Linked DNA regions of Macaca mulatta. The protein of the gene in region 3 interacts with the protein of the main gene of each other region in a biochemical or structural test. Links are inferred from orthologs where the notes say so. Each region holds a gene or a part of one and is shown on either strand. Other genes may lie near its edges.

Region 1 (4,300 bases), on a different chromosome or scaffold from region 3:
GGCCCAGTGCTGGACAGTGAGCTCAGTCAGGGTGGCTGGGGGCAATGGCCTGGTGGTCTGAGATAGCAGAGGCTGGATCAGCTGGGGGTGTAAGGAGAAGGAGGTCTCCTGGATCGCATGCCAATGGCAAGGAGAAGCTACTGAAGGATTCCATACAGAGGACTGATATAGTCCTATTTACCCATTTAAACACACACACACACACACACACACACACACACACAAACACACACGCTGCTATATAGAGAATGGAAGGAGGGGGAACTGTAATCCTACAGTAAAGAGATGCTGGTACCCGGGACAAGGGGTGGGGGACATAAGAAAAAAGGGGACAGACCAGGACACATTTTAGACGTAGATCCACAGACTGAATGTTTTTGATCTGAGCATCTGAGTTGATTGTGAGGTCACTCCCTGAGACATTGACATTTGGGAGAAGGAAAAGTTTGGCTGACAGCAAAACCTCCTTTAGGAACAAATTAGGTGTGAGGTTAGTTTGTTATACTATTTTCTCTTTCAGGACATAGGCACAGATGAAGAAAATCAAATCATAAAAGACATTTAACTTAACATTTTCCAAAATTGTGCATGTTCTAGCTGTCCCTTTAATGTCTGGGCATTTTGATACCCTGCGAGTGAGTGGCAAACTCTAAAATTAGTGTACATGGTGAGAGGTTTGCTAAAAGCTATATGCCCCTGTTTCTCTACCTGTTGCAGGGGATGTGTTTGTGGGAGAAAAATTTCGTGGCCTCAAACTGTGAAGGGGTAGGTTGAAATGGCCACAGGGGTCTTTATATTCTCCACCATCGGCTCCCGGCTGACCCCGGCCTTACTAGGCTTCCTCGCCTGCGTCCCTGCCTGCCGGGAAGGTCCTGCGTAGGTTGCAGAGACCATGGCAGACATAGCAGTTGTACCAGCCAGAGACACCTGGGCAAGAAGCATAACCCAGACATTGAGGAGGGTGAAGCCTCGCTGGGCCACCCCGCAACACCAGGAAGCCCTGGAGCAGTGAGAGACTCCTGGGCTGTCTCTTGTCAACACCCTGGCACAGGCACAACCGCGCGCTCACTCTCCGCCCGCTCCCCGTTAAAGGACGGGGTTTTCTCCAAAGGGAGAGGAAATATATGGACGCCCTGGTGTATTTGCCTGCTTGTGTTTCTTGCCTCTGCTTCCCAGCGTTCCCGACCCTGTCCCATACGGGGTTTCGGGGTTCCCCGCTCGGGCCCGCACACCCCCCTACCACAGGTTGGCTGGGCTACGGGCGTGGCGGGAGGCAGCCGGGACGTGAGACTGGGGGTCACCCCACACGCCCTCCGCGCCCCTCGGGCTGCGGCCCCTGCGCAAGGGCCACCCATGTCCGACCATGCGGCCGCCTGGAGCGCAGGCCCGCGGCAGGCAGAGGCCAGGGCTCCCCGCGGACGCGGGCGCGGGCTCCGGATTCCCGGGCCGGCCGCAGGAGGCAACCAGGTCCCTGGGGGGCGCGGAGAGGAACAGCACTTACCTGCGGCGGCGGCGGGGCCCGGGTACGGACGCTCCGGGACGCGGGGCTGGGCGGACACTGGCGGGCCGGGGCCTGGCCGTCCCACAGCCGTCTGCCCCCCGCGCCTCGGGCCGCGCGCCGGGGCCGGGCCCAGACGCACTTCCTCAATCCTGAGGCCGGCGGGCGGGCGGGGAGGGCGAGTGGCGCGAAGAGCTCGCAGAGCAAGGCCGCCGCCAGCTCTCGCCGGAATGGTTTCGAGGCGTCCCCTCGGTGGCCGCCTCAGTTTCCCTAGCCGTAAAACGCGGGCGATCGCGCTCAACCCCAGTGCCCCGGGAGACGCCGGGGTCCGCGGGCCATTCTAGTACCAGGTCTCTCCCTCAGGTTCGGGCACTCGGCTCCCTCCACGCGGGGCAAGCGCGGCGATGAGATTGGTCGGTGCTGCGCTCAGCCCCGCTTTCACTATCCCTCTGCTCTAGTGGCAGCAAAATCAGCAGATCAGCCCCTAACTTGCATGTGGCCCATACACTCCGTCCGTAAAAATTAAAAAGACAGGGAATATTCATTTGTGTACAGTTCTTTCCAGGGCAATACAGAAATATGTAGTTCTAAAGCGTTAACGATTTGCAGTTTGCACATCCTCCATCATATGGATTTTACTAATTCAATAATGGATGTATGCAAAGTATTTGCTGTTTGGTGAATCATGTTTAATTGTCGGCTTTGGGGGGAATACATAAAACATGGAATATTGGTAATTTATCGTGTTTCAACCTTTCATAAAGGTGTCATCAGGCTGCTGAGGCTAATATAGAAACGCAGACCATAAAGATCCGCGTCCACTCTGCAGGAGGGCCTCACACTGAGCTCCACGTGTCGACCCAGGGAAAAGGCCTGCTCAGGAAAAGCAGAGGGTTCCACGCCCTGCAGGACCAGCACCCTAGGCTCCTCTTCTGAAGTGTTATGACTCGCATATTCCCAGGATTTCGCGCAGATCTCCCCCACCCTCACTGACATTTCACAGAACCCGGGCAGCTACAGGGCTCTTACAGGACCTCCCGGACACCGCGGGACCGTGTTTCCTTGAGCGGCTTCTTGGGTCCCTGGTTGGCGAGGGGACCACCGAGCAGGTCTGCTCTGCTCCTGGGAGGCTGCTCCTGCCACTGGACGAGTTTCCAAAAAGGTAAGCGCAGTTCTGCAATCCTGTTCTCACCCCTGAGGGCCTCACACCAGTTTACAGGAGCCAGCAGTGTGATTGCTACAGATAAGTTCCCAACAGTTTGCAGGGCGTGGTGTCCTCAGTGCTGAGAGAGCCCCGCGACTGAGGCGCAGCTCCTCCAGGGCGCGCAGCCCCGCCACCTGGCGCCACCGCGAGGGAGCGCAGGCCCAGGGCCCGGGCAGCCGCTGGAGGGGACGCCGCCCAGTAAGGCGGGGCACCTCCGCTTCCCTTCTAAATGAGCTTGGGAATAGGCTAGGAAATGTCCCCAATGTAGAAAACAGCAGGAACATTTGACACGCGGATGACCTGTGTTGAGCCCGTTATATTCCCAGCATTTAATTCTAGCCATTAGGCATGTGTTAGCCACAACTTCTCATAGGAAGGCTATTGCAGATAAGTTAAGATTCCTTTCCACTTCTTCCTAAGGCTCGCTGACCCACGGTTCTCTAGCTTTTGTTGGTAATCCCACCCGGATTCTCAGCACCCTAGGTTGGAATGACCCCTCCTGAGGTGGGTGAGGTCAGCTGGAAGCCACCTCCCTGAACTGACTTTTCTCTCTTTTTGAAGGCACAGTGGCTGAGAGCTCCTTCTGTGTTTTCTGGTTGTTTTTCTTCAGCCCAGTTCGCAGTTTCCTCTGACAGTCTTCCTTGAACAACTTCCTAAACGCCCTTCATGAACCCCCTTCAAGCTCATGCCTAGGAGCAAGGAGCAAATCTTCATCCACCAGCAGAAGAAGCTAGGCCATCCCAAAGGGTCCACTTCTAGAGAGTGTGCCAACCCCCACACGCACACCAGGCACACAAATGCATGTGTGCACACGCACACTACACCCTCCAATTGTCCCCAGAATGGCTCCCTTCAGGGAGTCACATTCCGGGACACCAAATGAGGGAAAATATCCTTCTCCTATAGTTTTCTGCTCGCATTTGGATTGAGAAATGGGATGTCTCTAAATAATGTGTCTAAATTCTCTTAACATAAGTGTGTATCTTACGAGAGATCTGATCCCAGCCTCCCTTAAGTTTTTTGTTAAAGAGGTGGTGCTTTGCCACCCACATCAAAGTGATCTGGGCTTTCTACATCAAATGCACAGGTTGAGCTTCAAGAACATACCCCAGTACCACCAATGATCTTGATCCAGTGTCAGTGTCAGCTCCCAACGTGGTGATTGAGGCTTCTTGGTTAGAAGCTTTAGAAACTTGAGGTCAGTGAAACCCAAATTGATCCTTTCTCTAGATCCTCAGAGGAAAAGGTGACAAAAACAGACACTTGTGCTCACAGTCAGGGGCACAATGCTGTCTGTCAATCCTCATGCGGTCCTCCCCACCATTTCCCGCACTGACATCATTACCACTTAATGATAAACGGAGACTCAGGCAGCTTAGATGACAGCTGAAACTCAGCCAGATATGATGTGGAACCTCTGAGGCCCAGCTCCTTGCTTGGTCAACCCGAGCCCACAGAAATGGGTTTCAGAGTCAGGCAAAGCACTGGGCCCAATTGACAGAGTAAATGTAATTTTATGCTTACATTATTGATCCTGCTTTAATATCAGCCATTTTGTACAGGTCTCAGAAAGAGAAAGGCCTGCCATAGAATTCAAA
Region 2 (3,844 bases), on a different chromosome or scaffold from region 3:
AAAATGAAAGGGAGAGGGAGAAAGAAAAAGCTATAGATGCTTGCCAAAAATTAAATGGTATATAAGTAAAGAAAGTGATCTAACCTCTAAGAGAGTAAACACTGTTAACACATTTCTTTTTTTTTTTTTTTTTTTTGGAGATGGAGTCTAGCTCTGTCGCCCAGGCTGGAGTGCAGTGGTGTGATCTTGACTCACTGCAACCTCTGCCTCCCGGGTTCAAGTGATTCTCATGCCTCAGCCTCCCAAGCAGCTGGGATTACAGGTACCCACCACCACACCTGGCTAATTTTTGTATTTTTAGTAGAGATGGGGTTTCACCATGTTGGCCAGGCTGGTCTTGAACTCCTGACCTCAGGTGATCTGCCCGCCTCAGCCTCCCAAAGTGCTAGGATTACAAGCGTGAGCCACTGTGCCCAGCCTGTTAACACATTTCTTAAAAAAAATGACCTGGAAGATTTGAAAACAAACAAAATAGAAGTTTTAAAAATGAAATATTATTGTTCAAATTGTTTTAAAATTGATGATTGAAATAAAAGATTAGATACAGCTAAATAAATAGTGAACCTGAAGGTATCCAAAAAGACCCATATAACAAGGAGATTGAAATACAGTTTGAGTATCCCTTATCCAAAATGCTTGGAACTAGAAATGTTTCAGATTTCAGATTTTTTCAGATTTCAGAATATTTGCATTATACTTACCAGTGGCTCACACCTGTAATCCCAGCACTTTGGGAAGCCAAGGTGGGTGGATCACCCGAGGTCAGGAGTTCCAGACCAGCCTGGCCAACATGGTGAAATCGCATCTCTACTAAAAATACAAAAAAGTAGCCGGGTGTGGTAGTGAGCACCTGTAATCCCAGCTCCTTGGGAGGCTGAGGCAGGAGAATCGCTTGAACCTGGGAGGCGGAGGTTGCAGTGAGTCGAGATCATGCCATTGCACTCCAGCCTGGGCTACAGAGAGAGACTCTGTCTTAAAAAAATAAAATAAATAAATAAATAAAAACTAAAGACTACATTTTTCAGGGTTACATACATACATTTAAAACTATGGAAACAAAATAAAAGAGATATTAAGGATCGTTATTAAGCTATGTTTTCTGATCTCGATACAATTATGACAGAAGTAAGAATTAACTCAAAGGGGTAACCCCAAAGTCAAGTATAGCAGTTCCCTAGGGGACGAAGCTGGGAGACAGTAGCAAGTAGAAGTAGCACCAAAATAAATGCAACATTGTCAGTGCTGTTCTGGTTCTTAAGGAAAATAGCCCATTCATAAGTGTTCATTTACACTGGAGACGCGGAAAGGTGGATGGGAGGGTGGGAGGTAGGTAAGGGATGAGAAATTACCTGATGATTACAATGCACACTATCCCATTGATGGCTACGCTAAAAACACAGGCTTCACCACTGTGCAGTGTATCCATGTAACAATGTATCCATGCACTTGCACCCCCAATTATATTTTTTAAATGTTTGTAATTTTTTTTTAAAAGTGAGTCAGATGCAGTGGCTCACACCTGTAATCCCAGCACTCTGGGAGGCCAAGGTGGGTGGATCGCTTAAGCCTAAGAGTTTGAGACCAGCCTAGGCAACATAGTAAGACCTGACTCCACAAAGAATACAAAAAATTAGCTGGGCATGGTGGCACCTGCCTGTAGTCCCTGCTACTTGGGAGGCCAAGGAGAGAGAATCATATGAGCATAGTAAGCCGAGGCTGCAGTAAGCTGTGATCACCCCACTGCACTCCAGCCTTGGCAACAAAGCGAGACTCTCAAAAAAAAAAAAAAAAAAAAAGTGTTCATTTTGTTGTCACCTTTGGACAGTACAGCGGTGGCATTTATAACTTGCATTTATATTACATATATTCTCTTTCTCAAATATTACATAATTTTAAAATACATTAAGCACACACTTGCTCTGTTGTTCTAGAGGTTTAATGTTGTCAAACCTGACTTAGTTCTGTTGTAGTACAGAACTCATCACAGGTGATTAGGAAGTTTTGGGTCAGATGGTTGTAGGATTTTTCTTTACATTTATAGTTTTAAAAATATTGCAAGATGTGCCCAGTTGTAAACAAGCATGTTCTTAGCAGTTATTATAGCAACTTGGTTTGCAAGCCTTTTGGTATGCAATCCAGCAAACAATGTGAAAGTATCATATTCATGTGTTTTTCCCAAAGGCTTGAAGAAAGGAGAACAGCTCTTCTCCTTCCTAAAAGGGCCTAAATGCATATATTTCTCATTCTTGGAGGAGGAAAAGATACATTTCTAATGATGAAATTCCAATTAACTACCACTAACAGTTCCCCTATGCCCCTTCTCTTTTGGTCTCCACGAAGCCCTGCTCCTACTCTGGAAGAAGTCAATGCCTGGGCTCAGTCATTCGACAAATTAATGGTCACTCCAGCAGGAAGGAATGCATTCCGTGAATTCCTCCGAACAGAATTCAGTGAAGAAAATATGCTCTTCTGGATGGCCTGTGAGGAACTGAAAAAGGAAGCTAATAAAAACATTATTGAAGAGAAAGCAAGGATAATCTATGAAGACTACATTTCTATACTTTCTCCTAAGGAGGTATGTGACCACGAAATGCCTTCTCCCAAGGCTGATGGTAAAAGTATTAACTTGGTGCAAAAGCAACTGCCACAGGCCGGGCACGTTGGGTCACGCCTGTAATCCCAGCACTTTGGGAGGCTGAGGCGGGCAGATCACCTGAGGTCAGGAGTTGGAGACCAGCCTGACCAACATGGTGAAACCCCGTCTCTACCAAAAATACAAAAATTAGCCTGGTGTGGTCACGGGTGCCTGTAATCCCAGCTGCTTGGGAGGCTGAGGCAGGAGAATCACTTGAACCTAGGAGGCAGAGGTTGCAATGAGCTGAGATTGCGCCACTGCACTCCAGCCTGGGTGACAAGAGCGAAACTCCATCTCAAAAAACTAAACAAAAGTAATCATCTTTTTTTTCTTTTTTTCTTTTTTGAGACAGAGTCTCACTCTGTCGCCCAGGCTGGAGTGCAATGCTACGACCTTGGCTCAGTGCAACCTCTGCCTCCCGGGTTCAAGTGATTCTTCTGCCTCAGCCTCCAGAGTAGTTGGATTATAGGTACGCACCACCACGCCTGGCTAATTTTTGTATTTTTAGTAGAGACAGGGTTTCACCATGTTGGCCAGAATGGTCTTGATCTCTTGACCTCATGATCCACCCACCTTGGCCTCCCAAAGTGCTGGGATTACAGGCATAAGCCACTGTGCCTGGCCTCGCCATTACTTTTAACTTTTTCCAGAAAAATGCACAAAAGTTTTCACAGATTTCAGAGGACACTTGGAGCCCTTCTGCAGGTCCACAGTCAAAGGGATCTGCATACCGTGAATGCGGGTGCAGCTGTTTTCTACATTTTGCAGTTGCTGTTCTGGGTCAAGCTGAACATGACCAAACAGCTGCACCCTCATTCACAGCATTCAGATCCCTTTGACTGTGGACCTGCAGAGGGGCTGCAAGTGTCCTCTGAAATCTGTGAAAACTTTTGTGCATTTTTCTGGAAAAAGTATCCCCTGGAGTCTGCATTTGATGGTGAACACTGTTTACAAACATTACACCCTAAGAAGTTCCTTTAAATAAAATTATCTTGTTATTCTGAGAAAAATATTGTCTTTAGGTATCTTGATGTTACAGGGCAGCAGCATCACAGATGTGATACTGATGCGGAAAAGGTTTTCCCCAGGCTGGCCTTTTCACATTCAAGAAATTATCAGTTGAATGAGATTGGGCAAGTTTCCACCTGTCAGAGTTTCAGTTACTTCAGATCTAAAATGTAGGAGGTCAGGCCTGGCACAGTGGCTCAC
Region 3 (3,500 bases):
CTGAATGCCTGGAACCTCACAGGGATCCCTGAGGCCAGGCCAGTGGCTGCTGTCCCTGCTCATGGCTGCCCACCGTGGCTCTCCCCAGGGACAGCCCTGGGAGAGGGAAGACTAGAGATGCGAGGGCCCACAGCGGCCCCCAGCCCATCCAGGGCCTGCCCTGAGGAGCTCACTCACACATTACTAGATAGAGGGGTGTACAGGTGCCAGGCTAGGTTAGAAAAGGCCTCCCAGGAGGCGCCACTTGGGATGAGACCTGAAGGATAAGGGCAGGGGGGTGAGAGGCAGGTATCAGGATCGTTACAAGCTTAAGGCTGGACAGAGCAATATTGCTGGAGCAAAACATGTTGACCACGGCTGGAGCAGAAGGAGAGAAGAGAGAGGCAGCAAGGTGGGAGGCACAGGCCAGGCAGAGCTGAGAGGGCTGTGGGCAGGCAAAGGCCTAGCCTTGGGCCCATCTGTGAAGACACCTGGGTCATCTCCTCACTGACAAGTTCAGAAAGCAAAGGTAACAGCCGAAGCCCTCCATGAAACACTGGACCAACTCAAGGCCCAGGTATCCTGCCTCCTGGGTCCAGCACACCTGCGGGCACAGCCGGTCAAAGGATGCAACTGGGAGCCAGGCCTGGTGTCTGGGGAATTTGCCATGCCTGCCACTGAGTTGATGGATGAGGCCAGTGGTGCAAGCCCGTGTGACTGGCAGCTGCAGGGTGGCTGGCAGACCCACCATGGCACTGTCCCAGGGGTCCAGCCTGAGCACCTCATTTTGCCTTGCAGCTTCTCAGCCCCAAGGCCTCTGCCCATGGCCATGCCTCATCAAGGGAGCCTGACCTCACTCATCTGCTGGGATGTCCCCTCTGCCCAGAACCACACATGGGGCTGAACTGGGGGCAACCATAGGGTAAGGGGCAGAACCCTGGAGAGCACACAGATACACACTGGGAGCAGGGTGGATGCAGCCGCCTGTGTACACACCTGCCTGCCCATCCATCATTCGTTTCCCCCAGGCATGCCATCAACACGTAGGCACAGTTCCAGGGAGAGCCCTGAAGCGAGGAGTGGAGGGAGGCAAGCCTGCCTCCCCAGCTGCCTGATGAAAGCCGAAGATCCTCTCTCAGAACACTCAGGCTCCTAGCACCATGGCTACAGCCTGGAGCTGTCCAGTTTCCCTGGCTGGGGCACAGGGCCAAAGCTAGAACCATTGTTGCTCTCGGCTGAACCCAAAGAATAAAGCTTGCCTTAGGACTGGGTGAAGCAAGGAGTGACCTCAGAGGCCAGTGCTCCCAAGTGGGAGGCTGGGCCCTTGTCTCCCAGTATCACCCTCCGCTAGCCCCAGGGCACCCACAACTTCATGACTCCTTGTTTGCCCCCACTATCCCATCCCCAGGGTCAAAGGCCTCTCTCTTAAGGAGAGACTTGAAATCTGTGCTCAGGGCGTCCTGCTGGGCAAGACAGCCCCTCCCTTGTCTGCCACAGCCTCTACCACTGCCACTCCTGGCTGTGGCCCCCTTCGTGTGCTAGACCTTCTGTATTGGCTGGGCCTGAGCACACTGCTCCACTGCTTCACCTGGCTCCCCACTCTCTCCAGCAACTCCACTCTCAAGCCCCCAGTGCTTGGCACTGGGCCCAGGTCTCCCTCGGGCTGTGCCCATGCCACTGTGAAAGAATCCCAACACCTGCTTTCACGTCGTCCCCTTTCCACCAGGACCTGGCTTATCCCTTCTAAAGAGCTCTTAACCCCATCTCTGCCAGACTCTCAGGCTCAAGATGGGGTTGCAGGGCTGGCTGCTGTTCCTGGACCTACATGCTGGTAGGAGACTGGTGCTGGCAGGAGCTTCATGGATTTGCCAAACTATCACACGGACTGACCACGGATGCCCGGCGGAGCCTCACACTCTCTTGCCCTGTGGCCTCCACACCCTGAGTACTTCAGGCATGGGACATGACACCTGCACTCCACACCCTGCTCCCTCTGCCCCCACCTTGCTGGAGCCGCCTCATTTATCGTGCAGCAGGGCCAGGCCTGCGCCTGGTTCCCTTTCTGGCTGCGGACTGTCCTGGACCTCGCGAGTCCTCTTGCTTCCAAGAACCCGTGACAGCAGGAACAAGCAGAGGAAAACCCCCGGCCCCACTTACTGTCTGGTTATCCTCGTAGAGTTTCAGGTCGTAGCCGCTGAGCTCCACACAGAAGATGATGGCTGTGACGCCCTCGAAGCAGTGGATCCACTTTTTGCGCTCTGACCTCTGCCCCCCCACGTCCACCATCTTGAAGGTGAGCTCCTTGAAGGTGAACTTGTTCTCCACGATGCCCGTGGTCATGTCCCGGGAGCGCAGGATGTCCTCGACAGTAGGGATGTAGTCAGCTGCGGCAATGCGCTCCAGGTCGTTCAGGTAGTAGGCCGCGTTGTCCTCCAGGTGATACTCGCTGGAGCGGCTGAAGCAGGCCTGTGCCCCTGGGTCGGCCCAGAGCCGCCGCATGACGCCCAGCAGCTCGGGTGTGATCTCGCCCTTGCTCTCAGCGGGGCCTGTCAGCGCGAAGAGCTGCACAGCGTCGTAGGCGCGGTCGGGGTTGTGGAAATCGATCCTGAGGGCGGCCAGGGCCCGGATGATGCGGGTCAGCGAGTCGATGGCGTTGTAGATGATGAGGGGCTTGTACTCCTTGCAGGCCTCCAGGTTGAAGCCGCCGCTGTGGATGATCTTCATCTGTTTGACGATGGTGCTCTTGCCTGAGTTGCTGGTGCCCAGCAGGAGCAGCTTGATCTCGCGGCGCTGCCGTTGGCTCTCTGAGCGCAGGTGGCGGTCAATTCTCCGGGACCGCCGGGCTGCTTCTTTTTCCTCTGAGCTTTGCCGACATCCCATGGTCTGGCAGCAGCGGGCCCAGACAAGGAGCACGGGACGGGGCGCCTCTCCCTCTTACCACAGGGGACGCTGAGACCAGGCAGACGAGAGCCCAGCTGCCCTGGAGGCACTCAGTGCCAGCAGGGGGGTGAGGCCGAGCCACACTGCAGCCCCTGCCCCAGTGCCTCTTCTCCAGCCGGCATGGCGCTCTGTGCAGCGGGCGGCGGCCGCCCCTCCCCACTAGTGACACTCCACCTCCCTAGTCAGCAAAGTGGCCTGATTTGCCGTAGTCATTCCCTGTCCTCAGCGACGGTGGGAAGCCGTCCGCTTGTGTCTGCCTCGGCTGCTGCCGTCTGGTTGCTGGTTGCTGTGGCGATGTTGCTGAGTGGTTGGAGGGTTGGAGGGCTGGTCACTGCTGTGCTCCCTGCAGCCCCCCGCCTCCGGCTCCCACTGTGCATCCAGCCCTTCACCTGCCAAACACAGAGAAGAGTGTGAGCCTCCTCCCTGTGGCCCCACCTCAGGCTGGACAGTGAAAGGGAGCTCTTCTGAAAGCCGAGCAGCAGAGACTGGCCTCGGAAAATGAGCCGGCAACAATCCATCCGACCCCCTCTCCTCCATGGGGCACTGCAGGGTCCACACCACGGTGTAACACGTGTGTCTGC

Evidence for each region.
Region 1: the proteins of GNAZ (region 3) and LRRK1 form a complex in vitro, tested with the Homo sapiens proteins (2 studies listed by BioGRID and IntAct, with this or other methods). The link is inferred for Macaca mulatta from reciprocal best matches to the Homo sapiens genes GNAZ and LRRK1.
Region 2: the proteins of GNAZ (region 3) and RGS20 form a complex in vitro, tested with the Homo sapiens proteins (2 studies listed by BioGRID, with this or other methods). The link is inferred for Macaca mulatta from reciprocal best matches to the Homo sapiens genes GNAZ and RGS20.

What each region holds. Positions count from the first base shown.
Region 1 is NC_133412.1:91,285,305-91,289,604, reverse strand, and holds the start of LRRK1 (leucine-rich repeat serine/threonine-protein kinase 1), read right to left. Parts: upstream 2,801-4,300; 5' UTR 2,528-2,800; exon of another isoform or gene 2,263-2,527; intron 2,016-2,262; exon of another isoform or gene 1,502-2,015; intron 1,246-1,501; exon of another isoform or gene 1,089-1,245; intron 1-1,088.
Region 2 is NC_133413.1:64,602,260-64,606,103, forward strand, and holds part of RGS20 (regulator of G-protein signaling 20), read left to right. Parts: intron 1-2,340; coding exon 2,341-2,575; intron 2,576-3,844. UniProt on the Homo sapiens protein: Inhibits signal transduction by increasing the GTPase activity of G protein alpha subunits thereby driving them into their inactive GDP-bound form.
Region 3 is NC_133415.1:29,499,576-29,503,075, forward strand, and holds part of GNAZ (guanine nucleotide-binding protein G(z) subunit alpha), read right to left. Parts: intron 3,309-3,500; 5' UTR 2,860-3,308; coding exon 2,137-2,859; intron 1-2,136. UniProt on the Homo sapiens protein: Guanine nucleotide-binding proteins (G proteins) are involved as modulators or transducers in various transmembrane signaling systems.